2 linked regions of the Arabidopsis thaliana genome follow. The protein of the gene in region 1 interacts with the protein of each later gene in a pairwise test. Each region holds a gene or a part of one and is shown on either strand. Other genes may lie near its edges.

The links.
Region 2: the proteins of RRC1 (region 1) and WEE1 interact in a protein complementation assay, tested with the Arabidopsis thaliana proteins (one study listed by BioGRID).

The regions. Positions count from the first base shown.
Region 1 is NC_003076.8:8,629,588-8,645,899, forward strand, and holds RRC1 (RNA recognition motif (RRM)-containing protein), read right to left. Parts: upstream 10,631-16,312; 5' UTR 10,398-10,630; coding exon 10,323-10,397; intron 10,209-10,322; coding exon 10,076-10,208; intron 9,901-10,075; coding exon 9,855-9,900; intron 9,599-9,854; coding exon 9,538-9,598; intron 9,437-9,537; coding exon 9,302-9,436; intron 9,182-9,301; coding exon 9,065-9,181; intron 8,974-9,064; coding exon 8,808-8,973; intron 8,460-8,807; coding exon 8,347-8,459; intron 8,165-8,346; coding exon 8,090-8,164; intron 7,694-8,089; coding exon 7,472-7,693; intron 7,396-7,471; coding exon 7,337-7,395; intron 7,234-7,336; coding exon 7,149-7,233; intron 7,044-7,148; coding exon 6,906-7,043; intron 6,762-6,905; coding exon 6,537-6,761; intron 6,453-6,536; coding exon 5,716-6,452; intron 5,247-5,715; coding exon 5,083-5,246; intron 4,922-5,082; coding exon 4,632-4,921; 3' UTR 4,242-4,631; coding exon of another isoform or gene 3,633-4,241; 3' UTR 3,549-3,632; downstream 1-3,548. Other genes in the region: AT5G25050 (Major facilitator superfamily protein), read left to right, coding at 2,435-2,798, 2,874-3,133, 3,217-3,312, 3,378-3,548, 3,633-4,241; AT5G25070 (neurofilament light protein), read right to left, coding at 11,674-13,884; AT5G25080 (Sas10/Utp3/C1D family), read left to right, coding at 14,195-14,417, 14,510-14,565, 14,664-14,718. UniProt on the Arabidopsis thaliana protein: As a member of the SWAP1-SFPS-RRC1 splicing factor complex, modulates photomorphogenesis by regulating the gene expression and pre-messenger RNA (mRNA) alternative splicing of a large number of genes, including those involved in plant responses to light signaling.
Region 2 is NC_003070.9:666,110-680,281, reverse strand, and holds WEE1 (WEE1-like kinase), read right to left. Parts: upstream 6,977-14,172; 5' UTR 6,875-6,976; coding exon 6,576-6,874; intron 6,319-6,575; coding exon 6,258-6,318; intron 6,184-6,257; coding exon 6,117-6,183; intron 5,842-6,116; coding exon 5,578-5,841; intron 5,470-5,577; coding exon 5,402-5,469; intron 5,315-5,401; coding exon 5,205-5,314; intron 5,096-5,204; coding exon 5,055-5,095; intron 4,943-5,054; coding exon 4,788-4,942; intron 4,691-4,787; coding exon 4,337-4,690; intron 4,239-4,336; coding exon 4,155-4,238; 3' UTR 3,863-4,154; downstream 1-3,862. Other genes in the region: CUL2 (cullin 2), read right to left, coding at 18-179, 285-461, 552-704, 792-914, 994-1,134, 1,222-1,311, 1,409-1,690, 1,760-1,993 and 2 more; AT1G02965 (uncharacterized protein), read left to right, coding at 7,468-7,631, 7,734-7,764, 7,876-7,950, 8,137-8,176, 8,308-8,363, 8,499-8,621; AT1G02960 (kinetochore protein), read left to right, coding at 10,509-10,532, 10,632-10,662, 10,769-10,821, 11,016-11,055, 11,148-11,203, 11,295-11,426, 11,537-11,669, 11,814-12,109 and 6 more; GSTF4 (glutathione S-transferase F4), read left to right, coding at 13,826-13,931, 14,026-14,168. UniProt on the Arabidopsis thaliana protein: Cell cycle regulatory kinase that is not rate-limiting for cycle progression under normal growth conditions. Transcriptionally activated upon DNA stress or damage in an ATR- or ATM-dependent manner.

The sequences.
Region 1 (16,312 bases):
CGGATATTTTGAGTTATAGATCAAATACTGAGATCATGATTAATAGACTCCTAATATCCTACGCATATCGGATCAGATTTCAAATGTTTTGTCCATCCCTATATCACAATATACATGCATGATGAAATAAGCTTTCATTCTCACGACCAAAACCTTACCCTGCACGAATGAAATGAAATATGATTTTGTCATATCGAGCTAGGCGACAATCTGAGGTCATGGAATGTATGTTAACACCGCGGACCACGGTGCACCCAAGTCTCTCCAACTCTTCCACGTTGGCTTTTCCATTGTTGTAGTTACGACCTAGCCCATCTACCGTACACATAAAACATTAATCAGTAAAGTTGATAAGCTATATTGTTGAGTTTATTTTTCATGTAGTGATTATGCTAGTATATGATGATAACAATTAAAACAATATAAAACGATTGATGGTTTTAGATCTACTACTACCTCGAATATCAAAAGATGCTGCAGTGATGTTGGTGGAAGAACCAAATGCTTTGGCTAGGGACAAAGAGAATGAAAAATCTCCTTCACCGACCAGAAGTATTTGCTTATCACTATAGTGGCATACCATTTTACAATCTGCTGTTTTTCTTTTCACAACATGTCCTTATATACACATGTATAACACATATGGATGCATGAGTCAAATTACGAGAACTCGTATTAAATGTTTAGTTCTGTCTCTTCGAACTTTGTGATCATTGAAGTACGTTGAAGACCATTCATATTTCTTTTTTTTTTTGGTTCAAATTTTTTTTTTTACAACGGGTTTATTTTAAGTTTAGGACCATCAATTTATTTTGGCCCTAATAAATAAGATTATCATACACTGGAAGAGGTGACTTGCTATTTGCATTCTTTTTTCTAGTAATGAAATTATTTTTCTAAAATGCTTTCTTGATAAAGATTTATATTTGCGAAAAAAGAATATAAAAAAAGATTCATAGTTTCTAAAACAATACCAGAAGTTTTATTAGTTTTTTTGTAATAGGTTTATCAATGACAACCACCACAACATCCTCCAATGTTGAATATCATTAGAGATTGATCCGGGTTATACGTCAGAACGATATCCTTTTACAAAATAGTTTAAATTTTAAATTACATTTATTTTGTTAATATTGTTTGTTTTGTTAAGTATTTAAGATTATACAATTTTATTTCTTAATTCTATAATTTCACCGTAGTATTATCAGATGAATTTTGTAAAGACTGAAAGTGAAAATACTAAATACTTTAAGAATTTTTGGCTAAAAATCTACAAAAACGTACATGTAGATTATCAGTTTCAAGTATTTTATAAAATAAATAAAAAAAGTAATATAATAAAGAGTAACAACAGTTAGTAGTTGGTGGCAAGCTTTTGTCTAAGTCTATATAAATTATCAATAAAGGTGACAACAATATCCCAAAATGCTGGGATATATATATTTACTTTTGTTATAAAGAAATGAAAATGGGCTTTTTGGTATTTCATGATCAGTGGAGAAGTAGTGGTGACAAGATCTATATTTCACCCAACGATTTCCAAACACGTATTTAAAGAGGATATACTAGGTTAAGAAACACAAACAAAACTACTTCTGTTCCTTTGTTTGGCGACTCTTCAAAAAGCTTTTGGATTTTATTTTATTTTGGGAAATACTGGAATTAGAAAACTTATACACATAAATCAAATTCTTTCAGATACATTGTATTCTCTAATATACTTTAAAGTTACGTAATTTTAATTACAAATTCTTACGTTCACCTTTAACAACAACGAAAAAGGTTCTTCTTATGTAGAGAAAGAAAAGTCAAAAGTATTGATGAAGTAATATGGTGACTTTGATGCAAAACCAAGCTTAATTCCATTTAACAAAGAACTCATCTTCTTCTATTGAATTAATAACCTTATAAATTCTATAAAAAGCTTCTATTTTTGAGGTAAAATTGCAAAAAATAAGCAGAGGAAAACAGACAAGAATGTTCTTAGTAAGAGACAAAGAAAGATGTGTGTTCTGGTCAAACATTTAGCAGCAAAAGCTTTGACCTTTTCCTTTCGTCTCTCTTGATCTAAGTTTTATCCTTTAGTTTCTTTATTCATTTTCTTTTTCTTCTCTTCTTCTTCTTCAATGGTCATTTGTTGTTCATACGAAAACAGGGTCAACGAATGTGTGCAAATTTCATTTTTGTTTCTTGAGTTTAATTCAAGATTCATCATATTTGATTCCCAAATCTTTGATTTTTGACTTGCTTACATCAAAAGATTCATCCTTTTTTTAATAATCTGAGCTCAATCCAATCCAAGACATACCAACTTCAAACAACTCTCTTGTCCTCGCCCCTCGGATCTGTTTTTCAGACCAAACCCATATCAAAAGTTTCAACATTTAAGCTCAAAACAGAGCCAAATCTTGAATCTTTCTCCTCCTTGCAAGTTATGGTAGTAGAAGAGCAAAGCCTTGAAAACGGCGGATCCGTACATGTGGTCAAAGGAGAAAGTAATTTCCGTAATGTGGTGTGTGGTCCTGTACGGTGGCTAAAGATGTTGTCTTCAGAGCTTCATTGGAGCTTTGTGTTTGGTGTAGTCTCACTATATGGAATTAACCAAGGGCTTGGTGGCTCATTAGGTCGTGTAGCTACAGAGTATTATATGAAAGATGTTCAAAAAGTTCAGCCTTCTGAATCTCAAGCTCTCACTGCAATCACTAAGATTCCATGGATCATTAAACCACTTTGGGGCATTCTCACTGATGTTCTTCCCATCTTTGGTTTCCATAGACGTCCTTACTTCATTTTAGCAGGTAAAATCTCGCTCGAAATTTCGATCAAAGTCTCTTTGATTTCTCTTTTAAATGTACAAAACTCTGTTTTTGTAGGGGTGCTTGGAGTGGTTTCATTGTTGTTTATTTCACTGCATAGTAATCTACACCTTTACTTGGCACTGTTTTGGATGACAATATCAAGTGCTGCAATGGCGATTGCTGATGTAACCATTGATGCTTGTACTGCTTACAATAGTATCAAACATCCTTCTCTTGCATCGGATATGCAGAGTTTATGCAGTTTAAGCTCTTCCATTGGAGCACTTCTTGGTTTCTTTATGAGTGGCATCTTAGTTCATCTTGTTGGCTCTAAGGTTAATGAATCGTCTGTCTACTATGATCTTTTTCATTTGTGTTTCCTCTCTAATGCTGTATTTGGCTTGTTTTGCGACATTAGGGTGTCTTTGGATTGCTGACATTCCCATTCGCGTTAGTATCGGTAGTCGGGATCGTGTTTAGTGAGCCCCATGTTCCTGGTTTCTCTTACAAACAGGTAATAATTATTCTCTCTTTGGTAGCTTGATCATGAGGGTATTGACTCTTGTTGTATCATTTCAGGTGAACCAGAAATTTACCGATGCAGGGAAAGCGATGTGGAGGACAATGAAGTGTTCAGATGTGTGGCGGCCGAGTTTGTATATGTACATTTCCCTTACTCTTGGTTTGAACATACATGAAGGTCTCTTCTATTGGTTCACAGATTCAAAGGATGGTCCTTTGTTTGCTCAGGTATTACCAAAACAAATAGTTTCTATTTTCAAACTTCACCCCAAAATAAGTAATATGCTGAAGAACCTACCTGGTCTGTTTTAGGAAACAGTTGGTTTCATTCTCTCCATTGGTTCAATCGGATCGATTCTAGCAGCAACGTTATACCAACTAGTCCTAAAGGATCATCCGTTCCGCGGACTTTGTTTGTGGACTCAACTTCTCTTTGCTCTATCGGGAATGCTTGACCTCATTCTTGTGTTCCGTCTCAACTTAAAATTTGGTTTACCGGATTATCTCTTCATAGTAGTGGACGAGATAGTTTCTCAGATGATCGGACGCTTGAAATGGATGCCGCTGCTTGTCCTCACTTCAAAGCTTTGTCCCCACGGAATTGAAGGGACGTTCTTTGCATTGCTAATGTCAATTGACAATGCAGGCCTCATGACCTCATCTTGGCTTGGAGGGATAATGTTGCATGTCCTCAAGGTGACTCGGACTGAGTTTGGTAACCTGTGGCTTGCGGTTTTGGTCAGGAATGTCATGAGACTTTTGCCGCTTTGTTTTCTGTTTCTTGTGCCTAAAGGAGATCAAAACACGTTCAAGCTCCCGGATGAGATAATGGGCGAAGATTCGGACGAAGAGAAAGATGAAAAAGAAGGAACTCGGAATTTGGAATTGGCTTCTCTTGTTCACTCTGTTGATAGAAGATAGCTAGTGTTCTTTTATTATAGTGTTTGAAGCAAATGCTTCAGTTTTTCAGCAGTTTTGCCGAACTTCACTTTTACTTCTGGAAAGTGCAAAAGGCACACACTACATTTTTCTCTGAATGCATAACAAGTTTGTGTGTTTTTGGTATAGAAGAAACAATTCTTTGTGAATTTGGGGACCTACCTAATCTACTTACATTTCTAAAATAGTTCCATAAGAAAAACAAGAATCCAGTAGAAGAAACAATTGAGTGAGAAATCTTTCAGAAATTGGGATACAAAATTACAAGCTGTGTCTGAGAACAAGTTCTACAATATCTTCTGGATTTAAAAACACAAAAGGTTAAAATCTTGAGAACAGACCATGAGGTGAGAACAAGCATAATCATCATTATCATCTCGTGCCTCGTCTGCGCCAATCCCTGTCTCTCTCTTTGCTTCTATCATTATCGTCTCGATCGTGGCTTGAACTCTTTTCACGTCGATCTCGATCCCTGTTCAAATCATGTTGCCTATCTCTGTCTCTGTGTCTCTCTCTATCCCTGTCTCTCCCCAAGTCATGATCTCTCTCCCTCGTTGATGATTTCCGTGGCGGACTTTGGCTCTTGTTTTCCCCACGGTGCCGCTTTTTAGAGGACTCTTGTGAATCTTCACGCTTCTCCTTCCGCTCTATTATTGATTTCTCTGCAGTTAAAATCAATGTGTGAATACCTAATTTAATAGTGTTTGAGACGCATTAATAGTGTTTCACTCATTGTTGCATCGAATGGAAATAGAGCAAATTAACAACCTTTCCCAAAACAAAAGAAGAGTATGTGTATGTTGGGTGAGAAGTAAGAACTTACGATTTCTGTTGCCCTCGTTAGGTCCTGATAAGCCATAATCGACTTCAAGCCTCTTTCTGTTTATTTCTACTTTTCTCTCTATCTCTTCGGGGTTTTTCATCCCCTGTTCCTCAAGAGTTTCACGATACTCTATCAAAGCAACTTCTATGCGTCTCCGCTTTTGTCTGCAGTAACAAAAAACAGAGCAAGGGAGAAGTCTATTGAGTTTCAGATTATACAATTGAATAGCAACTTCTACTGAAAGTAAGTTCTCATATTTTCTTGTTAACTTTAACAGTATTGGTGCAAGCTCATGTATGGGTAGGTAAGGCACATTTGGGTACATACAATTGATGCATATGCCCAAAAGCTTTCTATGGCTCTCAATTATCCAACTTAACCGGGTAAGAGCCAAAATACAAAATAATGTGTACTCTATAAAGACCAAATCAATTGAAGTTCACAAGAACACACCTCCCTCACTAACATAAACTACCCTTACGCTGATGTTACTATTTCGAGGAATTCTTTGTTGTTTTTAATGCTCAAGCACCAACATGAAGCAATAATGCAAATTGGTGTTTTTTAATCTATATTTTGCTTGCTTAAGTTACTTTCCTAATATCTTTTCATAAAGAGATGCATTGATCATACCTTTGTTCCTCGTCCATTCCGTTGTCAGGTTGGGCACGGACACAATCATTTCCCTTGAGATCCTCGCCATCGGCCTTGAAAGTTATCCCACCAGTATTGTCACTTCCTGAAGAGGAGCTCCTCTTTTGTTCATCATCAGCTTCATCATCGTCTCTCGCCCATTTTGAAGCTGGCAATATGAGTTCATTCTTCTCTTTTCCCACAAAGGCTTTCAGCTCAGGCTGTGGGATTGGTATTGTCGTGGGTAGATTCACAGGCTCTTTCATTTCAACCTCTGCGTAGCTGTTCTTGATATGCTCCCGCTCACTCTTAACTTCTTCCCAAGTTGAATGGTTTTGCGGATGCTTTGGAATTTCATCCACTGCTTCATAGCCGCGTTGTTTCTCTGTGTCTTCAAGGCTTAGTAGCCGGGTAACCATCATTACTCTACCTCCTACAAGAGACAGTCCGTTGTGCCGACAACGCCTCTCAAGCTCAGCAATTGGTAAATTCATCAGCTCTTGCCTTGCAGCTCCTTTGCCTATTGCCAGTGCAGCATCTGGATTTATCTTTCCAATATCACTCATATTGTCAGCGTAACTTTTGTTCTCTATTTCAGGTGCATCACCGCAGATAGAATGAAATGAGGTAACACCAGAGACTCCTGATCGGAGAAATGTGGAACGTAGTCCATATATGTATGCGTCTGAAAAGAGAAACCAATCTGCCCATACTTGCAGTACTTTGAGAACCCGTTCCTGCAAAAAGTCAGAAAGAGTTTAGAAAAGTATATTTATAAGGGAATGAAAACCATCAACGATCATTTTTCTTTCTGACAGTACTTTTAGAGCCTCAGCAGTAATTCTTCCAGTTATGCTTCGGTACAGATCATTGAAGCTTTCCATTATATCAGGTAGAGTTGCTTCGAATTTGGTTCGGTATGCAGATGCATTTTTAACACGTGCACTGCTATTATGAAGAATATCAGACACAAGCATGAGTCTAGCAACTTTGGTTGGAATTGATGTCTCTTTTAGAGTCAGGGACTCCGTCAAAACTTCAACAACCTGTGGAATTAAGTACACATATATAAGTAGGAAGAGGCATATGAATATCTATTTTATTAACGAGTAGTTCTGTTCAAATTTTTTGTGGTGTCTAGAAAAAACCAACTAAATGTACTGAAATATATAAGTCAGAACATATTGTACCTCTCCAGCTGCATCTGCATTATCTAAAGCGAAACCCATAGCTTCTTTTATCTGACTCCTTTCTAAAGTAAGAGCACGCAACATGTCCTCGAACTCATCCCTCTGAGGATCGGTCAGAGTCCTCTCAACTTCCGCACGCTGTAAGATTTAACAGTGTCAGGTATCCCGCACACCAAAAGAACAACTTAGCTAACAAAAGAAAAAGAAATAAATAAATTAGAAGTAAGAGTGCAAGAAGATTACTCTGGTTCTTCCCGCCGCATAAGTGCTGGCAGACTCTTTTTCGTGCTCCTGGGTCCTAGTTACAGGCAGTGGTGGCGGTATCCATCTGCAATAAGAGCAAATAGACAGTGTTAATACAACAGATGTCATATGCAAAGGTAAACCAACCGAACACCCGGATCAGTTTCAAAGTTGGCAAGGTTCAATACCTTCCACTACCAGTTATCATGATATACGGCTCTGTTCTCCACCTTTGAAGTGTATCACCCTAAACAATGCAAAAATATTCAATCAGCTTATGACAATGCAAATATATGCCTAGTTAAAAGGCAATCAAAATGTACCTGAGCGAAGGAATATAGTCTCCAGACGTAGTAAGTATGCTCCTTTGAGCCAAGCTCGAACATAAACTTGAACAGTGGATTCCCACGGCCCCTCTCCATGATAGCTTGTTCAAAAGCACATTCACCATCCAGAACATAGAGTGCCAATGTATCAATGACATGTCTGAGGTGCTCGTCCTCAGGGGTAACAACAGTGATATCCGGAACATTAGGGGTAAGAACCTGTTCAATGCAACGGAAGTACATATGGATTAAGATTATTAAAGACGGGCAGCTGTAAGAGTGTCGTCAACTATAGGTGCCGTATCAGCAAGTTACTTGAATCAGTATCATTACAAACAAGAGAAGCATTAAGTACTGAGAAGTTTCAAGTATCTGGGGACTGGTTTAGTGCCATTGGGGGTTTGGAAAGTAGAGGATGCACTACAAATAGAATTGATCCCAAGTTTGGTTTTTAGTTCTGCTTTTGTCTTTCATTACTTTAAGAAATAAAGACAATCAATTCTGAAACTTAACAGTAACATTTCTGGACTATAAAGTAATTCAAAAGCCTTCCACGAATATCATATAGAACTTATAAAGAACCAATTCAAGCCATGTGGAACCAAGTTTACATACCAGCTCAGAATTTTGATTTGGAACAGAAGTTATTATCGGTGGACCCGTTTGACCAGAAAAAACCAAGTTGCAGCCCTGCCAATGAAATATTTAAAGTTTTTAGAGTTAAACTAAAGAGATATAAAACTGGCAGAACTTTTTATGCAAAAAATGGCAAGGAAATACCAATAAATTCAGAGATCGGGCCATACATAGGTTAGTGAACAGAATTAAAGAAGAAATATATCTAGAAGAGCAGCACAGGATGCATCACAAACCTCCTTACTCCGAATAGCCATATGTCCAGGTGGTGGAGCGGGTAATGCTTGTGACGGTAGAGAAACTGCTTTACCCCATCCAATTTTCAGTTCATACTCGTACACGATGATCCCTGTAAAATTGGAAATTTTCCTTCATAACTTTCTTTAACATTGTCACATGCAATCAGGTATATAGTTAGTACAAAACCAGTCGACTATAGACAGATAGACTAGTCAATAATGCCAGAAGGGTCATTAGTTTCCAACATTAATCAACCACTGGGTATATGTTTCGATCAACAAGGAAACCAATCAAATTTTGTTGAACTGAAGTACTCAAACTAATATGCCTAAAACGTTTCTTGTTCAACTATCCATTTTAATCTCTCATATATATCACACATGTTGCATCTACCTAGAAAATGATTTCTAACCAAGGCTAAAATAGAGAGTCCTAGATAGAAGAGAGGCTAGCTAACCTTGCATTTCATCTTTTGCAGCTTGTCCATCAGCCCTATTCATGAAGGAAACAAAGCCACAGTTTCTTTGTCGCCTCTTCTCCTCATCTGTTCTTGGCCACATAATCTTGACACTAGCTATGGGCCCAAATCTTCCGAAAGTGCGCAGAAGGAAATTCTCATCAACCTACGTGAGCATAAAATTATACCTTATGAATATTAAGAATACAATGGCGAGAGAAAACAACATATGATCCAAGTAAGAAAAGAAAAAACACCTTTGGGGACAGATTCCCAACATACAGATTCGTAGTTTGTGGGTCACCATCGTCAAACGATCCTGGCCTCCCACTGGGATCAAAATCATCAGGTAGCTCATCAAAGCGGCTAGATGGCTGAATACAGAATAAGTTTAGTATAGAAAGCCGGGAGTCCAGAGTAAATATGAGAGCAGAACACCGATGAAGAGAGCAAAAGAGTATGATGAAGAGAGCACAAGAGTATAATGAACTAACCGAGCTATCGCCCTGACGGTCACGATCCTGGTTTCGTCTTTCTCTCATTTCTTGTTCACGTTTCAACTCCTCCATGAAATTATCTATATTTCGAGTCTTTCCCTTTTCTCTTTCCCTAGGCCTCTCCTCCTCCCTCTAGAAAGATGAAATAAATGAACTTACAACTAAATAATTGTGCTTCAAACAACAAACCCAATGAACAAGAGAATTACAGTGACAAAATCCATGCTACTGACCTTCTTCTCCGGTTCTTTACCCTTGGATGCCAGTGGTGGTGGAAGGAAAGAGGGAACATACCTACAAAGATTAAGTGGACGATAATCTTCTATATAACAAGAATACACGAATGAATTTCAACTTATCAAGCAATACCCAAGAACATCATTCCTAAGACCTCAGCTAGTTACAAATACATGATTAATAATATTTTACTCAAGCCTGGTAACAAACATATCAAAAGTGTATAACTCATCAGCAAAATCACGAGCGACCAAGCTCTTTCGATCTACGATAGCAAAGCGAGATTGATTCAATCAAAAGCAATCAGTTTTACCTACTCCCCTTCTTTGAAACCGAACCCCCATCTTTGGACTTTTCACCTGCCATCCGCGAACGCATAGAAAAAAGGTCCATACACTTATTAATGCGTTCCCAATATAATCAAAGCATTGCTCTAACCATTTGACACCAATCAAAAAGAACAAAGTACACACAAAGAGAGAAGCAATTGTAAACAAACAGTTAAAAAGCTGTGTAGCCTTTGCAAAGACTAACCTTCAGAATCAACCTTAGGCTTGTCACCAGGATTTATCGTCCCACCTCGAACAAAAGTCTTAGTAGTTGCATTATCCCCTTGAAACGATTCCACGAATTCTTGATACAAACGAGCCGTTTCATCCTCTGCTTTCTGCGATTAAGATCGAAAACCCCATCGATTAATCAATCAAATCAATCTCCGATGAACAAATTTCTCAAATTCTACCCAGGAATAGCGATGAATCGATTGAAAATTTCAACTCACCTTCTTCCTAGCTTCTTCTTCTTCTCTGTGTTTCTGGAATGGTGTTTTCTTACGAGTGATCGAGAATGAACTCATTGTTTCAGCATCCAACTGCTCCTCGGGAAACTTGTACCCAACGAAACAGAGAAGCCGAATTGATGATTGAGAAAGATCAAAGTAGAAAGATACGAAGACTATGGATTCTGATTCGGAACTAGGGTTTGGATGAATCGAGAAAGGTGACGATTGATCAGGAAGCGAGCTAGGGCTCGAGGAGAGAACACAAGACGAGCTAAAAACGGGAGATAGGGAAAAATAATAATTAGGATAAAATATTTGTATTTTCAGTCGTCTTTTAAGAATTTGTGGAATTTTAAATTAATTATTGCGTAAGCATAAAATTTTGATAAATAAATTTAAAAAGTTACATATACAAAAAATGATAATAAACAAAATTTAAATCTAAATTGATATTTATTATAAACTGGAAAGAATATATTGTTTCAAAAATAAAAACTTTTAAAATAACTATGAGTGTTAACATATATTTGTAATAGAACAAAATTTTTTTTGCTGTTGTTTATAAATTATAACTAGAAGAATTGAAATTTGAGATTGAGGTTAAAGAGTTAACGTTCTATTTAATAGAGAGATTTAGAGAGTGATATAAATAAGAAAATACATATTTAGAAGTGATTTGGAGTAAGTAAAATTTTACATAAACTGTATCTTTATATATTATTCCCACAAAGAATATTTTCATATATTTAGAGTTGGTTATCTTAGTTAAGAATGGTTCAGATGATGATGAAGTAAAGTTCATTATAGTGGTTTCCTAGGCTACAATTCCACAATGGTATCAACATCTTCAACTTCTCTATGTAAAATCATAGCATCCAAGAACATCCCACTTTGTTACTTACAGCGAGAGCCAGACATTTCGACGGAGAGGTGTCATAAGACTACTCAAGTCCAATACAAATAAAAATTCAAAACAGAATTGCCATAACGAGCCAAGTTTACAATTTTTAAATTACAATGACTAGTAAGACAACAATGTTTACCTACCAAATCAACAGTTTGATCTAAAGTAAACAGAGAAACAAAGAAAGTATATTCCAACAAAAAAAAGTTCCTGGTGTTTCTATCCTCGTAACATTTTGAATAGAATAAGCTTTCTCTCTTTTCTTTGAACAACCAAATCGATCAACACATGGATCCCAAAAACAACCAAACAAAAACCATATACGTGGACTGCGTTATGGAGCTTAATGTTGTTGATAGATTTACAAAACCAACCATTCGGTTCTTTTCCTTGATGATTCAGGACATTCCTGTAGTCCCTAGGATTGAACCTGAAGCAGTTTCAGAGTTAAGATGGAACAGATTCCACCAGTTCTTGTAATTTTTTCAGACCAACGGTGGCTATGAGTTCCATCGAGACAAAAACTTCATTAGATTTTGCTTTCTCTTCTTCCTCTTCCTCTTCTTTGAGACCGCCTGTGAGTTTAAGCTTCTCTGCCTCGGATTCTGCTTCTTGCGCTTCCTCAAGTAGAAGATTAGCTTCTTCAAGGTCGCTCAGTTCCAGAGCAGCTGATCTCTCAGCTTTTGCAGTTCCACTGTCAATCCGCAACCTCTGGAATCTACTAATAGCCAATTCTTTTTCTTTCGACAAAATCAACTTCTCTATCTCTTGTAGCCTCTTGATGGTTTCTTCAATCTCATGCTCTGCTTTTTCGAGCTCAGCGTTAGCTTTTCCTGTTTCCATCTGTGTCTTATCCTTTTCTAAATTTAAAGACTTGGCTTCTGCAGCTATTCTTCCAGCTTCTTTAAAATTTCTCGTTGATGCAGCCACTTTCTTCTCTGCTTCAAGCTCCGGCATCCTTTTCTCTATGAACATAATTTTATCCATGAAAGATGTAATGTTCTGTTGGATGATCGACTTTTTAGAAGATCGCTCCTTAAGTAACTCTCGGGTACTGGAAACCTCCTCTTGTAGCTTCTGTACTTCCTCAGAAAGCTTCTCTTCGATATTTACAAGCTTAGCTCTCTCTTCTCTAGTTTTAGACACATATGACATCAAACCTTTCCGCAATTTAATAACTTCCTCATATTCACAAGCTTCATCCGCTGAAACACGGGCAAGATCACGAAGTTTGGCTCCTCTCTCCTTCTCAGATGTCATGAACTCGTCCACGTCTTTCTTCTTCCTTGATAAATCTTCAGTTTCCTTGTCAACCTCAGTGAGACCAGCTTGCACATCGTTTAACATTTTATCCATACTTGTTTGCAATTCCTTGAAGCCAGTCACCACATTGTTAATTCTTTCCTCAACTGCCTCTATTTGCGAATCGTTCTCGTCAATCTCCTTCTCCTTTGCCTTCACCAAAGCAAGCAGCTCCTCAAGTTCATTTGCCAAATGTTCTTTCTTCTTCTGCAGTATCTCCTTCTCTTTCATATCTTGTTCAACAGATCCCTCAAGAATACCATTCAACGACAACCGAACGTTATCAACAACAACAGATTCTATATCCAATTCGACTTTTCTAACCTCAACATCTTCAGAACATGAATGCCATTTCTCCATTTCATCTGAATAAAAAGCTTCTGCTTTCTCCAGAATCGATCCAGCATCATTCTCAGCATCCGTGCCAAAACTACGAAGCAGACAGGCAGATTCTTCTTCAGCTGCAATCTGAGAAAGAAGAACCTCTTCCATTTTCGACTCAATAGCATCGCAATCAGATTCCGCTTGGCGAAGCAATGCCAACAATGCTAGCCTATCTCTTTCCTTAGCAGCGAGGCTTTCGCTAATCCTCTCAGCCGCATCGAAATCCTCTGTCTCGATCGCTTCCTCAAGCTGCTTCTCGAGCTCTTCGTGCGTCGTAGAAGCTAATCTGAGATTCTCAGATGCTTGCCTTTTCTTCCTAATCGCATTCTTACGAGCAGAAGTAACCGAAGCAGCCAAATCACGAGAACGATTTAGCTTCGCTTCGATCTGAGCCTTAACTAACTCCAACCTTGAGCTACCATTACCAACAACCACAGTAACAACAGGAGAGTCTAAAGATTGATTACCGGAATCAAACACTTGCGCGACGGAATCAGATATTTGACTAACTGAATCTGATACTTGACTAACGGAATCGGATTGTTGACTAACGGCATCATCTTCGTCTTCGTCGAGATTGTTGGTTTCGTGCCTACCGTATCCAATTCTTAATCCAGCCGCTCTCTTCTTCCTCCGTGACACCTGACGTCCATAATTCTTCGCCGGAGATTGATGAGTAGTGATAACTGCCTCCATCGGCTCAGGTTGGTGTTGAACCGGAGTCACAATCGTTAAGTCTGAAAACAGATTCTCGTCCAAAGCCTCCGTAATATCTGGCTGAGAAGTAGCCGTGATCAGTGTCGCCTCCGTCACATCTGGTTGAGAAGGAGCCGTGATCAGTGTCGCCTCCGCCGCCTTGGTTTCTTCAGATTGAGGCGGTGAGCTTACCTTGCTGTCACCGGAGAACTGAGACGCCGGTGTAAAAAGCTCCATCCCTTCGAACAGGGAATCCATATCGTCGCCACCATCCATCGCCGCCGATCTGATCAATCACCGATCTGATCTACATTTGAGTTTGAAACCTTTTAATAATTCATAAAAATAAATTCACTAGTTTAATGGGCCTTAAATGTTTGACTTGTCTTGGGCCTATTAACGGCCCATATTTGATAATGCTGACGTCACTCTTTCCCGATTGTGTTAGCGCCTCTTCATCTCCATAAAGATAAAAATTTCAACACTTGTCGGCGACTCAGAGAATCTAACCGGAAACCTAATCTCTTTACCTCTGAGTCTATCTACGCCGGATTTTTCAATTTTCAAATTCTCGATTCGATTGAAGATGGAAGGAGGTGGAGGAAGTAGCGGCGGAGGAGCTGGAGGAGTGGTTCCGGAATCAGCGATTGAAGCGGTGAATCAAACACTTGCGTACCTCAAGGAACTGAAGCCACAGCTTGAGCAGATGCTGACTTTAGCTGAGCCAGAGGTTCTCGCTGCAATGCAACCATTACAGCGAGCTAAGACTATGCACTTGCTAGCTGAAGCCACCACTACTCTTTACGAACGTAACACTCTTTCTTCTTTGTGAATCTGTTTCGATTGAAGTTTGTTTGTTTGTGATAAATTTGAATTTTTTTGTTGTTTTGTGTGTTTACAGTGAGGTTGAGATGTACTGGTGTTGATCCTGATGATCATCGTGTAAAATCTGAAATTGTATGTGTCTTTGGATGTTTTAGTTCTCTTATTATCTTGTTAACTTAATCAAAATGGTATCTTTTGTTGTTTGATTGATGGTAGTATTGGTTTTGTAGGAGCGGATAAACGTGTACAGAGAGAAGTTTCAGAAGTGTGTTGATCAAAGTAAAGGTAAAGATTGATTTTCTGGTGCCTGGATTGATTTGTAGAGAGATCAAAAACTTGTTTGGTTCTGTGTGTCTTTTGGTTTAAACCATTTGTTTCAGTTTGAATTGGCCATTGTATTGTCTCGTGGATTAAGCAAGTTTTTTTGGCTTTCTCTTTTCATTGGAGAATTGCTGCTTTCAATTACCTTTGTTGGGGGATAATATTTCAACCATGTTCAAGGATTATGCTCTCAGCTTAGAATTTATTTAGCCTTTCGTAATTTTAGAGGCTAATAGGTGCTAACGATTTCTTAAGCGTTAAATGATATCCTCTGTGTACCTTATTGTTGATTAGTACATTTTGAGGACTTGCGTTTCTGATCCTTTGTTTGTTGGGATTATGTATCTGCCTTATATAGTTTTCCTTGTTTTGTTCGATGTTTAGTGTTGATACTATTTTTCGTAGATATGATGATTTTCTTTAAAAGACTCTTTATTGCTTGTACCCATCTTAAATGCAGGGAAGTAGTGTTTCCATTAGAAGGCTTTCTCTTTTCATTGGAGAATTGCTGCATCCATTTACCTTATAAAGTTGTTGGGGATAATATTTCAACCGTGTTCAAGGATTTTGCTCTCAGCTTAGAATTTATTTAGCCAGTCTTAATATTAGGCAGATAGGTGCTAACCTCTTCGTTGATTAGTACATTTTCCGAGGACTTGCTTTTCTGATCCTCTGTTTGTTGGGATGATGTATCTGCTTTAGATTGTTTTCTTTGTTTTGTTCTATGCTCAGTGATGATTTTATTTATTTTTGGTAGATATGATGATTTTCGTTGAAAGACTCTTTATTGCATGTACCCATCTTAAATGCAGGGAAGTAGTATTTCCATTGGAAGGCTTTCTAATAATGAATCGCGCCTAATCCATTGTTCTGGACTTATCTTTTAGTCACCTTACTATTGCATCTACCTATCATCTTATATTGAAAGGAGATTTCCTCTCGTAGTCTATTGAATGAAATTAGGGAGACTGATTCGTGATCTAGTTTCTCTGTATTTGTTTTTCCGTTGAATAGCTTTAAAATCAAAGTGGATAGTTTCAACTTTGTTTTGTCAAGATTTACTTCCATTTAGACAACTTATTTGATTTGAATTTATTTGTGGCTCATTGTTGATGTTAATGTTTCGCGATGTTTTTCGAAGTTTTTTCTTATTGTGGAAGATCCATTTGTTCTTGTCTACTATCTCAAATTTTGGAGGCTAGTGTCTTATCTTTGTTTATCAACGAGCTTTTATATTCCGTTTAGAAAGTGCTTACTCAATTGGTAACACTTGTGCTCTGCGTTTTTGTGAAATGACTCGTGGGCCTTTCGGGCAAGAATCGTTTTGTCGATATGCTACCGGGTACTAATGGGCCGACTAGTTCGACTTAGTTTCTCGAAAGTATTTCTTTTCATGCACATCGTTTCATATTTAACTTGTCTAATTGATGTTTGGTTTATCTGATAAGGAAATTTTGTAGTCATTTCGATTTTGTTAGACATTGAATGGCTACCTCTAATCAATATCTTATCCTCTAAATGTTCTCTTATCTATTTCTCTTTTTTTTTTTTACCGTAG
Region 2 (14,172 bases), on another chromosome or scaffold:
CAAAATAAACGACTTACCATTTCAATGGGTAGATTGAGGTCGGTTGTTTTGTAACTTGGCCAAAAACCAGTAGTAAGTACAGTGACAGTGAAATCCATCCCCAGCTTTTTGGTCTTGTTAACTGATAAAAATTCCACGAAGTTGGTTTGGTGTTCTTTTGCCAATGTCATATCCGTCAGCTATATGAAACAAATCGAATGTACAAAAAAAAAAAGCATTATTAACCTTCGTTACTACTAAATAAGCAACCCGTTTTCAAAGGAAATAAAACTCATGTGACTAACCATGCCCTCCATCTTAGAAGTAAACTGCGCACCGAGTAGTTCTTTAAACTTTGTAAGTAAACTTCTTTCGTGGTAGTCATTACCGTTGCGATCAAACAAGAGCCGACGGGCTTGTTTCTTCCTGAAAAACTCGGCGAAAAGATCCTTGTCACTTATATAAACAAGCAACTTAACCACCTGTAATAAATAAAATTAAAAAAGTCAGCATCAAAGTGACATATTTGTAGGGCATTATTAGCAGTATATATGAAGGAAGAAGAAAACTACTTTCTCAAGCGTAAGTTCAAGATCTTCATTTTCAAGCTTCTCAATTCCCCCTCCCGTCTTGAGGATATTATCGCAATACGTTGCAAGAATTTCTGCACTGGACACTCCAGCCACTGTCTTGTTACAGAAGACTTCAAATGCCTCCTTCAATGCCTACAATATATTCAAAGAAACTATGGTCATTAAATAATATAGTGTGGAAAACAAGATAGACATGTGAACACACACACATACACACACCTTATGGAAGAGGCTGTGTTTCTGAAAACACTCATCGACGTAGACCATGAATTTATCGTGTAGGTCAATTAATTGTCTGATAAGCACCTGGTCCTGCACCTTCAGTCCACTAGTACTTGCAGCCTGGGGAAGTACGTAATTCTCAGCAATAAAAAAAGGAGTAGACTAACATCTAATATTCGAATGAGCAAAGAATATAAACCTTATCAGTAGCTGCCTCGGTAGCTTGTTTGATAAGGGCACTTCCCTCTACAGTAATATGTTGCTTGAATAAGTCTGCAACAGGATCCAGCCCTTGCGGTATTGGATGATAAAGCCTGTACATCCTGGCGAGATCATCCATCTGAAAGTATATCCAAATGCTCAGTCAAAGAGTGAATTTTAGAAGAGAACTCTTTAAGAATTAAAGAAACCAACACAAGTCGATTACCTTGTCGTCTCTTAACAATGCACGGCATCCTGAGTGCTCATTTTCTATAAGTTGTTTTGCAACCACTACCAACAATTCATTTTGTACTTTCTGCATCCAAAACAAAAAACAAACAATCAAAACGCTTAAACATTCCCTCAGTCAAAATATGATTATTCCAAATATATAATTATATATTTCAGCTAACCGCAACTAGTTTCGGCTCAGTGGTTGAATGAAGGTAGTTGGTGACTCTCTCCTTCTCCAGTCTTAGAGACTCCTCAGCCTTTATCATGTAATCAGGACAAGAATTCTCCTGGTTCCACCTTGAGGCGTTGCGAGAGTAGTAAGATGCAGAATCTTCAAGCAAGAAGCTTTCAAAATCCTCTTCGTATTTAACCAGCTCTCCCATCCCATTCCCACAATAGACATCTATTACGTTTTTCAATAGTGCTCTATCAATCTGTTCGCCCTCGCGTTCTTTATGAATCTGGCAATACAAATTGCGTTAGATAAACCAGAATAAGTAAACCAGAGCTACTCAGTTAGAGATACTTACAAGTGCTAGTACAGCGTCTTTGGCCTTGGACTGTAACTCTTGATAAACCAGGTCGCGGAAGGATATGAAGCCAACAGCACTCAGTGTTGGATGAGACCCCCGACGAGTATAAAAACGGTCAAGATATTCGAAGAAGTGGGATAACCATCTAACAAGAATTTTCTGGTTGGCCCATCTCTTAACAAGCTCTCTCAACATATATTCACCATGCTTCTCACGTATAGCCGGCAACACCTAATCACATATAAAAACATTAGACCGTTTGCTCAAGTTGTACAGAACAGCGTTACAGAATCAAAGCCCAAACGCAAACATGGTATATTACTCACAGTTTGTTTATTGTAATCAACATATACTCCACCATACCGATCATAGATCTGCTGTGAGTAATCATTAGGAGGTTTCTGGGTACACAGATTGTGGACAGTCCTGTGAATTCACATCGCTGTGTGTTAGTATCCACACCGTTAACGGAACTCTAGTAAAAACAAGAAACAAACATTATAATAAGAAGACATACGTGTACAGCTGCATACGTTGAACCGGGTCAAATGGTGGCTCATCAGGCACTTCTTCCAGAATCTTTTGTAGCTTTGCAACACCAGCCTCCATGACAGACCATCCTGCCTCCAACACAGAATCCTTCTTCGCCATTATGAGATGAACAAGGTTCTGCAATAAAGTAACAAGACATGATGAGAAATCAAGATAACTAAAACAGAATTTACTTGTTGAGATCTATGATACTCTTATATATCATCAAAACACAAACTAAAACTAATCAGACTACCAAAAGAACAACGATAAGAAGATATTACGCATCCATCACGATGAATCACCAAGAGAGAAAGAAGAAGGAATTTGAACACAACAATCAAATCAAGTATTTCGCAGAGAATCAACAAAGCACAGAGAAGAAGCCAACGTAACCCTAAATCGTTCATACAGAAACGGGACGTAACCCTCGAGCAGATATTGCGAAACAGTGACAAAAACAGAAGAAATCAGCGAAAGACTAAAGAAGAGTACGAAATCGAGACATGTGAAGAGAAAAGTGTGCGATCTTAAACCCTAGGTTCGTCACGTACCAGAAGGTTCCGAGAGTATTACTCGAATCCGATTTCACAGGGATTTGGAAGAGCTCTGAGAATCGAGAAGTTGGTGTCTTAAAGCCTAGAAGAGAAAACAGAAGATATTATTATATAGGAGGCTTTGAGAAAGGCGGTGAAGTTTTTTGTTATTGTTTTCTTTGAAAATAATATATAGAAAGTAGATACACTTTTTTATTCCTTTTCTTTTTGGTCAAAGTAGAAAAAACACTTACCTACCAATTAACATTTTTAAGTTGAAATCTGGACTCTATAACTATGAACATTTAATATTATGTACCTTAACAAATGTGTTTCTTCTATTTCTATGGTGTAGTGATTTGGAATTATATATGTGTTGGTTTTTTTTCTCTTGTGGTAATGATAAAAAAGGTATTATAGATTTTTTTATTATTAATATAAAATTATGATAACTATGAAGATTAATACTTTTAAGGAAGTATATCATGATAAACTGATGTTATAGTATTTTGAGTTTGTTCTACAAAGATTGAATTTTAGGATTTTACTTAATTTTTATTGATTGATATTAATTAATTGTAGATTTCATACTACTATTGATTCAAAGATATTAAAAAATATTTCATTTAAAAAGGTGATTGACAAATAATTAAATAATGATTGTTTGTTAATATGTGAAAACTCTAGAATATCAATCTTTTAGAACAGAGAGAGTATTTTGGAAATTAGTAAATTTTAACAGAAGCATCTAGAATCTTTTTCTTCTTTTTTTTTTTTTTTTTTACATAGTACATGTGATGAAGCAATAAACTAAACACCTCTTTAATTAATTTATATTGCCTTTTCAAGAAATTGAACCGCAATTGGGGAGAGAAAAAAGTAAATAAATAACCTTTAGAGCTAGTGTAAAATCATTAGACTTTTGAGTTTTGATCATAATCAACTATACAAGTTTTAAACTACCGTGAAGATTTCACCATTTTGCTTTGCTTTTAACCATTCTACCATTGTGTGACCTATTACCCTATTAGACTCTTCAAACAGTTTCAACTCAATAAAAATCTAATGGCATTTGAGATTATAATGAAACATGAAAATACAATTCCCAATTTCAGTTCCACAAATATACAATAGCCATTAATTCAGTTCAGTTTTTGTTGGTTAACCGGATCTTTTGTACCGAAACCAAGATCATGGTATCTTTTTACGCCAATAGTTTTCCACAAAAAAAAAACTGGTGCATGGCCATGGACCATTACCCTCCTCCGATCATTGGTACCATAATTTACAAAATTTAGTTCTCGACATCTGAGAGACTCTATGAATCAACCTCGAATCCTATCAAACATGGGATGGTCCAGTAATTCTCTAGCAGAAGGCCGACGCTTCGGATCACGATCCATCATTGTCTGTTTCAAGAAACATGTCAGAATTTCTGTCTTAAATGCTATGTTCCAATGCGTGGGACAGCCATGACAACACACAAGTAAGAATGCAAATAACATACCTTAAGAAGTTGTTGTAACTGCAACGAATGGCCAGGAAGGAGAGGAAGTTTTCCTTCTTTGATATTGAGCGACTGGTTTCTTGATTCTGTAAGAGGAGATCCCTTAATCAGCTCATAAACCGTCACACCTAAAGAGAAGATATCGACTTTATCAAGGTGTTCGTAGTCTTCATTTAGAATTTCTTGAGGCATGTAACGTGCATCTCCTTCTTCTACTGGTAAGCTTTTGTCCAATCGTGTGGCACAACCAAAGTCACCAAGCTTGCAAACACCGTTCTTAATGTAAATATTGTCAGGTTTTACATCTAAATGAGCTATTCCTTTCTCATGCACAAAATGTAATGCCTTTGCTATCTGTAAGAGACATAGTACAATGGTATGTATATAAGAATTCAAAGAATCAATAATATCTCTATACTTGATTTTATATGAAAATGAAGCCAGTGTTTACCTGATGCATAATCACCAAGATCTCTCTTTCTGAGACTTTAAGAGAAGATTTCTTAGGCAAAGCTGACAAGCTGTGATCGCAGAGTTCCAGTTGAATGTATAATTGCTCATTTTCAAACCACGAGGAGTAATATCCTACTATATTTTCATGAAACCCTACGAACAAAACAAGATAAAAACGGTTTAAGGCTACACTGAGCTTAGCTTGCAAACAGGGAATAACAGAATAGTTTGAGAACAAGAAGGCCAAAGAAGGGACTGTACTGACCAAGAGCAGCAAGAGCTTGCACTTCCATCATAGCTTTACGTCTGCAAAAATTCAGCTGTGATTACTTGAACAAAAACGATCCAAACAAGATGAACTATTTTCAGCAGATATGTGTCTTTCTCTTACTAAGAAAACTAGAGAAAATTATACCTCTCTGAATCTAGATACAACTTTCTTGTGCTGTGTTTCACAGCATATAGGCAACCGTCCATTCTCTTCAACACCTTAAATACCCGACTGAAATGTCCAGCACCAATTTGCTGGAGAAACCAAACCAAAATACGTAAGAAGAAGCAACATAATTCCGTCATGATCACAATTCCAAGCTAAAAGACCCTTTCGCTTACCCGGATTTCATGAAAGTCCGTGAGATATCTTGACAAGCCATCCCCACTTGTACTTACAGGGAGAAAACCTACATAACAGTATATTTAGTACAGTTTTACTGAAGAAACCAAGCCTTATTGATTTTTAAAGCCTTCAGGAAATTCTTGAGCAAGAATTTTAGGGACAACAAACTTACTTGCACATTTTGATCTCTGATGTCCAAAAGGGTCAGTAGCAGTCTCAGACTGATTCAACACATACGGATTCTTGAGGCAAGGGGGTGGCATAGCCCGACACCGCAGAGCAACTGCAGCCTGTGAAACGTATCCAGTCCTCTCTGTTTGATTAGCTTGGAGTTTATCCCCCATCACCTCATCTGTGTCAATATCATCATTCTCTTGTTCATCTACTCTATGTTTTGAAGACCAGGTAGAATTTGAATGATTTCCTGTGAAACTCTCTGCATCAAACACAAAAAAAAACAAACAAAACTGAGTAATGAAAAAATTAAGCAAAGAACACACTGTCACCAAAACATGAAATCACTAGATACTACTAGTGTGAATCTTAAAGCAATAAAGAATTCAATATTGGACAGTTGTTAAAACAGGAGATCAAACATAACTATAATGATAACAATTGTACCACAAAAACTGAAACGTATATTTTCTTCTCATCCGAAAATCTTCTTTTTACTCATACTAAACACAAAATCTGAATCCAAAGAAAGCTTACCCTGGCGACATCTTTTGCTTTTAACTGTATTTAGTTTAACAGGAGACCTAGGACATGGAGAATGATCCTACAAAAACAATAAAGAGAAGAACTTTAAATTTGAGACATTGGTGAAATAAACATCCAAATCAACAATTTTACCTTGCTGATATCTAAGCCGCTCATCAAGTTCTGATTGTCCGGGGTTATATAGTCAGGTGTGCTGGAAAAATTAACCAGAGAAGAAATTATTAGTAGCTGAGACCATCATTCATCAACATCTCACAAGCATCTTTTAGCTAGACATAAGTTTAGCTTTCATTTTTAAAAAGTGAATATAAGGGAAACCATCTCAAATCTAAAGTCAGATCTTGAAATCGTAATACTAACTAATCCCAAAATTCAACTACCTAGAAGATAACGATAGATCTCGAATTAGATATACACAGCTAAGAAATGCCAGAGTTAACGAAGATTTACCAGAAGAAGTCTTGGCTAAGAATAAAGTCCTTCTCTCCGCAATTGGCATCTGAATCAGCGGAACCCAACTGATTTCGGAGTTCCGAAGAATCCGAATCCAGGAGACCCTGAAACGCCGATGAAGCAACATTCGACGACGGACGATTTTCGAAAGAAATCTTCGACAATTGACCGAATTGAAGCAGAGAGTGACGCTCCAATGTCCCTTCCATCTTCCGAATCTTCTTCGATGCCCTGGTTTTGATTGTCCCTTGGGTTTTCCTCTTCGCCAACAGTGTTCTTCCGTTCTTCTCGAACATGACGATGAATATTATTACTTTGGGTGGTGATTCAACTAAGGAAAAATAATTGAAATAAATTAATAAATTCAAAATTTGCGCGCTCTCGTCTTTTAGAGTTTCGAGCTAAAATTTGGGAATAGTCATCTGCATGACTGACTACGGTGCACTTCCTATATAATCAATTCTGGACCGTTCAATCTTCAGGATTGAAATATTTTGCTACAGATAAAGTAAAGGTGCAGCGGATCTTCTGTAGAGCGTATCATGTACGCTTTGATGGGTCTTTAATAAATAATATTTTTTTCTATAATAGCACTAGCATTTTTTTTGTTACGATTCACTAATTTAAATATTCAACTTTCTTAAGAAATATAATATTTTTTGTTACGATTCACTAATTAAAATTTTGAATTAGTATTTTTTGTTAATTAATTTAACAATTTGTATTTTTATTGGTCAAACAACTAAAAAGTTTCTCATTTTTTTTTTTCCAAACATGAATTAACTCTCCTTAATCCTTATAACTAAAGACCAGTAATTTGTACTAGAATGTGAAATTAAGGAATTGCCAGATTAATGTTTGATTAATTCTAAAATGTGGGATATAAAACATGGGAATTGGGCCTATTAAAGCCCAATTACTAATACTAAAAGAAAGTAAACTCAGAGAAGGGCCCATATCCAAGCATACTAACGGCAAGGACGGTATAAAGGTGCACGCCGGCGAGATCGATTTGAACGGTGACGGCGAATGTGACGGCGAAGAAACCTTCCGGTGACTGTTCTACATCTCTGAGAATTGTTTGCTTTTGCGATTTCTTTTATTGTTGGATTAATTTGATTTTGAGTTTTGCTTTTGTTCTTGTTGGATTTTCAGGGGAATCCAGATTCCGATCAGAGCATCTCTGGTGAGAACTGATGATTGCTTTTATCATCTGAAATTTCGATTTTAGATCTTAGTGTTTAGGTCGCTCATTGTCTAACAAGTGATTCGCAAGCTGTTGTTTGGTCTTTTAGAGGAGGAGGAAGAGATCATCAATGTTAGTTTGGGAGAAAATGATATGTGGCCAAGCGAGAATGCAAAGGAAGAAGAGGTAATGTTTAATCTCAACTTGAGCTTGCATAAAGCTCTCTGGGAACTCCTGAGAATTTGTCTTTGAGAAAGAACATGGGAACTTTTGATTTTGCCCAATTCCTGATTGTTGTTGGCTTGACTAGTTTTGAGGAGCTATAGGGTGAATTTGATTGTGGTTTGACCATAGTTGGCTTGAATATTGTAGGGAGGATTAATACTTCAAACAAAGCTCGAAAAACTCATAGGTATATATTTTGCGATCAAGCCTTTTCTATGACTATCTTAACTTCAGTCAGGTTTCCCGTACCTTCTTGCAGTTCATAGATTAACTGATTAAGGAAAGTGTTTTCATAAGGAGCTTATGTGTTGTTTTCAGGTTGTGGTGCGCTAAATTATGCTAGGGATCCCGGTGATGTAACGGTGGAAGCAACTGTGAGTCGTTTTCGTTTTCAAATTCTTTTGCGCAGCTTCTTGTTCTGAGGAATATTGGAATCAAATGGTGATGAGAGAAATTTCCTTTTTAGCTACGGAAGATATCAGAATAACTAAACCAGAATTGTGTTACAGATACTTACAAGTACTGATTTGATGCCGAAGATTTACCAGAATTGTGTTACAGGAAATGCCGAAGATTTACCAGAAGAAGTCTTGGCTAAGAATAAAGTCCTTATCTCCGCAATTGGCACCTGAATCAGCGGAGCCCAACTGATTCCGGAGCTCCGACGAGTCCGAATCGAGAAGACCCTGAAACTCCGATGAAGCAACATTCGACGATGGACGATTCTCAAAAGAAAGCTTCGAAAATTGACCGAATTGAAGCAGAATAGTGTCGCTCCAATGTCCCTTCCATCTTTCGAATCTTCTTCGTTCTTCTCGGTTGATGGTTCCTAGGGTTTTCCTCTTAGCCAACAGTGTTCTTTCGTTCTTCAAAATTTGATGGAAAGTAAAGACAATAAATAAATATATTCAAAATTTGCGCGCTCTAGTCTTTTCTCGTTTCGAGCTTGGGAATAATCAGCTGTATCAATGACTACGGTGGATTTCCTATTTAACCGTTAGATGAAAGGATAGTAATATTTTGTTACAGATAAAGTAGAGGTGCAGTGGATCTTCTGGAAGGCGTGTCATGTAATTTAATAAATAATACTAAAATTAAAATTAAAATTTTAATATTTATTTAAAGTTAAATTATTTTCTGTTTTATAGTATAATTTTAATCATTTTATACATAATACAAATTTTTACTTGTTATTATGGATAGATACATCAATTTTAGAAAATTAAATTAAAGTATTTATAATTTTTTAATTCTTTTATTGGTTTTAAAAGTTAAAAAAAATTAAACTAAAAGAAATATTGATAAACAAGTTATTCTTATTGTCAACCTTCTTGAGACTCAAAATTATTCGGACAGCGAACCTTATACTTGTTTTTTTATATATTCTAACATAAAGAGGATATGATATGAAGAGAAAATCGGAAAAAGTGTTATAGCGATGATGACGGGTGATGGAGGGTTTGCGGATGTGATTTTAGATCTCATAGAGAATGGATTTAAAGTGGTCGTAGTGCACCCGACTGGAGACTCAACCAGCCAACTATTCACATTATCACCTGACTATCATAGATTGATTGATTCAAAAAGTATGCTAAAGACATATGAACAAGCCCGTGACTCAAATGAATAATACTTCATTGGTTCCTTGGATTCCGAGTCCTAAAAAATCAATGTGTATGTATTTATATCTTTAACCTTTTAAGAAATATATAATGTTTTTAATGTATTTCCAAATTACGATTTAGAATTAGTGTTTATTGTGATTAATTTAACAAGTTTTCTTTTTATTGGTCAAAAAATCAAAAAATTATGAAATAACTCTCCTTATATTATTGAAGAGCAGTATTTGTACAAAAATGTGAAATTAAGGAATTTGCTAATTATAACTATTAACTAGAGATTGATCCGCGGTATATTTCGGTTTAATATTTTCGAAAAAAGGTTAAAGATTTTTATTTTAATTAATATAATATATATAAATAGCATATTAAGAGATATACCATAGACCTATATTTTTATCAAAAATATTTGTATGATATACTTCCAAGACGATTTTGTATCTTTTTAATATTTTTATGCTATAAAAACTTAATTAATTAAAAAATTAGCAATTAATTAAATGTAATTTAATGATGATAATATTTAGTTCAGAATATAAATTTAGAACAATAGGGATGTTCACTCTGATTACATTGGTTCTATATAACGAATGAAATTAATAGCGTTAAAAAGACCTAGAACAATATTTTTTTTAAATAGATATTGTAGGAAATAAAAACTAAATAGTATATATTTTGGCCCAAAATTCTATATGTAGATTAATTCTAAAATGTGGGATATAAAAAACAAATTATAAAACATGGAAGAGTTTTATTGAATTGGGCCTGTTAAAGCCCAATTAGTTATACAAAAAAGAAGAAGTGAATATCTCAGACAAGGGCCCATATCCAAGCATACTAACGGGCAAACGACGGTACAAAGGCGAACACCGGCAAGATCGATTTGAACGGTGACGGCGAATGTGGCGGCGAAGTAACTTACCGGTGACTGTTATGCATCGCTGAGAATTGTTTGCTTTTTTCTCTTTCCAGGACATTGATTTGATTTTCTGTTTTGCTTTTTTCTTGTTGGATTATCATCAGGGGAATCCAGATTCCGATCAGAGCATATCTGGTGAGGACTGATGATTGCTTCTTTTTCTTCATCTGAAATTTCGATTTTAGATCTTTGTGTTTCATTGTCTATCGAGTGATTCTCAAGCTGTTGTTTGGTCTTTTAGAGGAAGAAGAAGAAAATGATATTTCGCCGAAGGAGAATGCGAAGGAACAAGAGGTAATGTTTAATCTCAACTTTCGATTCGTTAAGCTTGCATAAAGCTCTCTGTGAACTCCTGAGAAGTTGTCTTTGAGAAAGAACTTGGCAACTTCTGATTTGCCGAATTGATTGTTGTTGGCTTGAGTAGTTTTTTTTGAGGAGCTATAGGGAATTTGATTGTGGTTTGACCATAGTTGGCTTCAATATTGTAGAGAGGATTACTACTTCAAACAAAGCTCGAAAAACTCATAGGTACATATAATATATCCATTTTGCGGTCAAGCCTTTTCTACGACTATTTAACTTCAGTCAAGTTTCACAAAGAGCTTCTGTGTTGTTTCCAGGTTGTGGTGAGCTAAATTATGCTAGGGAAACCGGTGATGTAACTCTGGAAGCAACTGTGAGTCTTTTTCGTTGCAAATTCTTTTGTGCAGCTTCTTTTTTGGAGGAATATTGGAATCAAATGGTGATGAGAGAAATTTCCTTTTTAGCTACGGAAGATATCATCCTCTCTTGAAGATGTGGTCGAAGTTCCTGACTCCCCCGAGGAGAGTTATATTTCTTCTTCCAGAAGAACTGGATTAGCATGCATATCTGCTCAGGAAAATGGGTCAGATGATGAGGTTACCTTCTAATCTTGGAGTCCATTTCACTCATGCATCTTGATAAGTTCTTCAAATTGGTGACAGTATCCTCTACTTATGTTTTGAATGGTGATTGTTGTTGCCTTCAGATTACACATGATGAACAAGTGGCAACTTGGTCTGCTATAAGTAAAGAAACCAAGTCACTAATCCATTTGAATGGTGTTGCTTCAGTCGCATCATCCCATCTATCTGGCTTCAGAGCCAAGAAAAGTAGTAATGGTACTGTTTTATCCAAAACTCTTCTTGGTATTTTTTTACCGTACAAGTTAAAGAACGTTGCACCACGTATGAAAACTCAAAGAAACAGATCATGTATGCACGATTTTCTGAAATCTCTGAGTTGGGTTTCTAATGTATATGCAGGTCTCAAAGATCATGGGAGGCCAAAATTTTCATTTAACTCACATACTCATGGAGAAACGTCATCCAAGATAAGTGACATGGCTGAAATCTTTGAGCCTGATGTGGAGGATCAGGCTATAGAAGAGGATCCAATTATTGAATGCCCCAACAGTTTTGATGAAAGATCAGAAAACAGGCAGGGTGTTTCTGTTGCTGAGTCGAGAGAAGTTTTGCACGAGTGCACTAAAGATGCGGTACCCAAGCTTCAAGAAATTCCTCTAGATAAAATTAGACTGATAAAAAGAAGCTCTGAACTGGTATTATTGATTATACAGTGGATTAGCATTTGATTTGCTGCTTTGCTCTCAGACATCTGTTTCATTCGTTTGGCCTCCTTTCTGCTCCAGGACAGCAGACATGAAGCAAAAAGTCGGAAATTTACTCATAAGGGAAATTCATCTAACTTCCAAGATAGTGATACTGATGATGAACTTCCTGGACCTATGGATAGTGGATCATCAAGCGATGATGAGGTTTTATTCTTTTCCTTTCTTGTGATTTGGGTAATCTCCTTCTCCTCAGTTTACAGTCAAATTCAAATTATATTGTTCTGTGACATAGCCTAGTTATCAAAGCTCAGTGCCAAACATTTCCAACCAGAAGAAACAATTTGTTGGGGACCGGTTTGATGAAGCAATAAAAGCTTCCTCTTTGAGCAAAGAAGGTCTCTTGTTCGGTTCACCTAAATTATCTGGGTAATCAAACTCTCAACATCTTTTATGCACCACACTCTTAAAATCACACATCAGTTAACATGAAAACCCATTTTTGGTTGCATCAATTTGCAGTGGCTCTAGCCTGTATGGCAAGCTGCAACAGATCATGAAACAAGAAAAAGAGACGGAAATGGAAATCATGAGGAAATTGCAAAGCGGAATCGGAGAAGCAGGTAACTCTTTTTGTAACTCCCATATAAACAAAATCTAGTTCATACCTCTGTTACTCGTTCCAATTTCCCAACTCAGATTCATCGGGCTATGTTGATGTTAAAGTCATGTCAAGACACTTGGAGGGAAAGCTTGTCGTCTGCAAATGCTCTGTCATTGACCTCTCTGGGGTTTATCTCTCCATCTCTTTGACGCATCTGATAAACCTGCTCCTTTAATTAGACCCTTAAGCAATTGATTTAGTCACATTCGATTTTGTAGGACTCCCTATTACTCAAGAACACACAAGCTCTTGCGGCAAAAGAAACAGAAACAACAATTATTTTTAGTCCGAAAGTTTGTGCGGATGTTGATATCGAAATAGGGAACTTTATCCGAGTATATGCGCCATGGTCAGTTTTGATTCCACTCTTTAGACTCTTATCCCATGTCACTAAACTCTTTTGTGATATTTAGCTTTTCAATTTTCAACAGGAAGGAGTTGGAAGTGCAGAAAACCAATGATGTGATTATTTTGTCTTCATATTTCTCAAGTTTGTAATATAACTCACACAAATGTCAAGATGTGGAAAAAACTTGCAAATGATTTTATCAGTGTGTATAAAAACGATAATTAAAGCTCTCTGATTGATAACAATCATACTGATCAGAGCTTAAAGTGTTTTTTGATTTATCGTGTTTTCTTCTTTGGGTTTACTACTGATTAAAGGCGTTAATCAGTTCTCACAAATGATTCAACTCGTTTTAGTTATTTATACATGAACTGTTTGTTGGTTTGATTCCTGTCGTGTGCTTTGGTAAACCTCAAAGTAAAGCATAATCATAGTATTCGTCTTGTTTATTAATTAGCACTTAAAATAATGGAACAAAAAGGATAATAAAAGAACCAGAAAGGATAAATAATGAAATAAAACGGTAGATCCCTAGTTTACATTGTATCATTGGAACAATTCATCTCTCAATACACAAGAAAGGTGGACTCTTTACGTGGATGTCAAGGAAAAACAAAATGTTCCTCAGCTTTTGTATTGCAAAGAAAAAGCATATAACTAAGTTGGTATATATAATAGGGTTTATGGAGGATACATGCAGAAATTAAACAAGTGTATCTATATCGTATATATGGACTGCTTACAGATGGTGTTCAAGTTATTTCCAAACTGGAAACGTGAGGCAGAAGTTAAAAAGCTCGGTAAGATTAATTAATATATAGGTTTATAACAAACAAACAAAAATTAAGATAATTTTGATTTCAGTGAAATTTGTTCTATGATTCAAAGTTGCAGGTTACAAGGTTCATGGCGATCCTTTCTCCACCAACACAAGGCGTGTCCTCGCTGTTCTCCATGAGAAAAGACTCTCTTACGAGCCTATTACCGTCAAATTGCAAACCGGTGAACACAAAACCGAACCTTTCCTCTCTCTCAACGTAA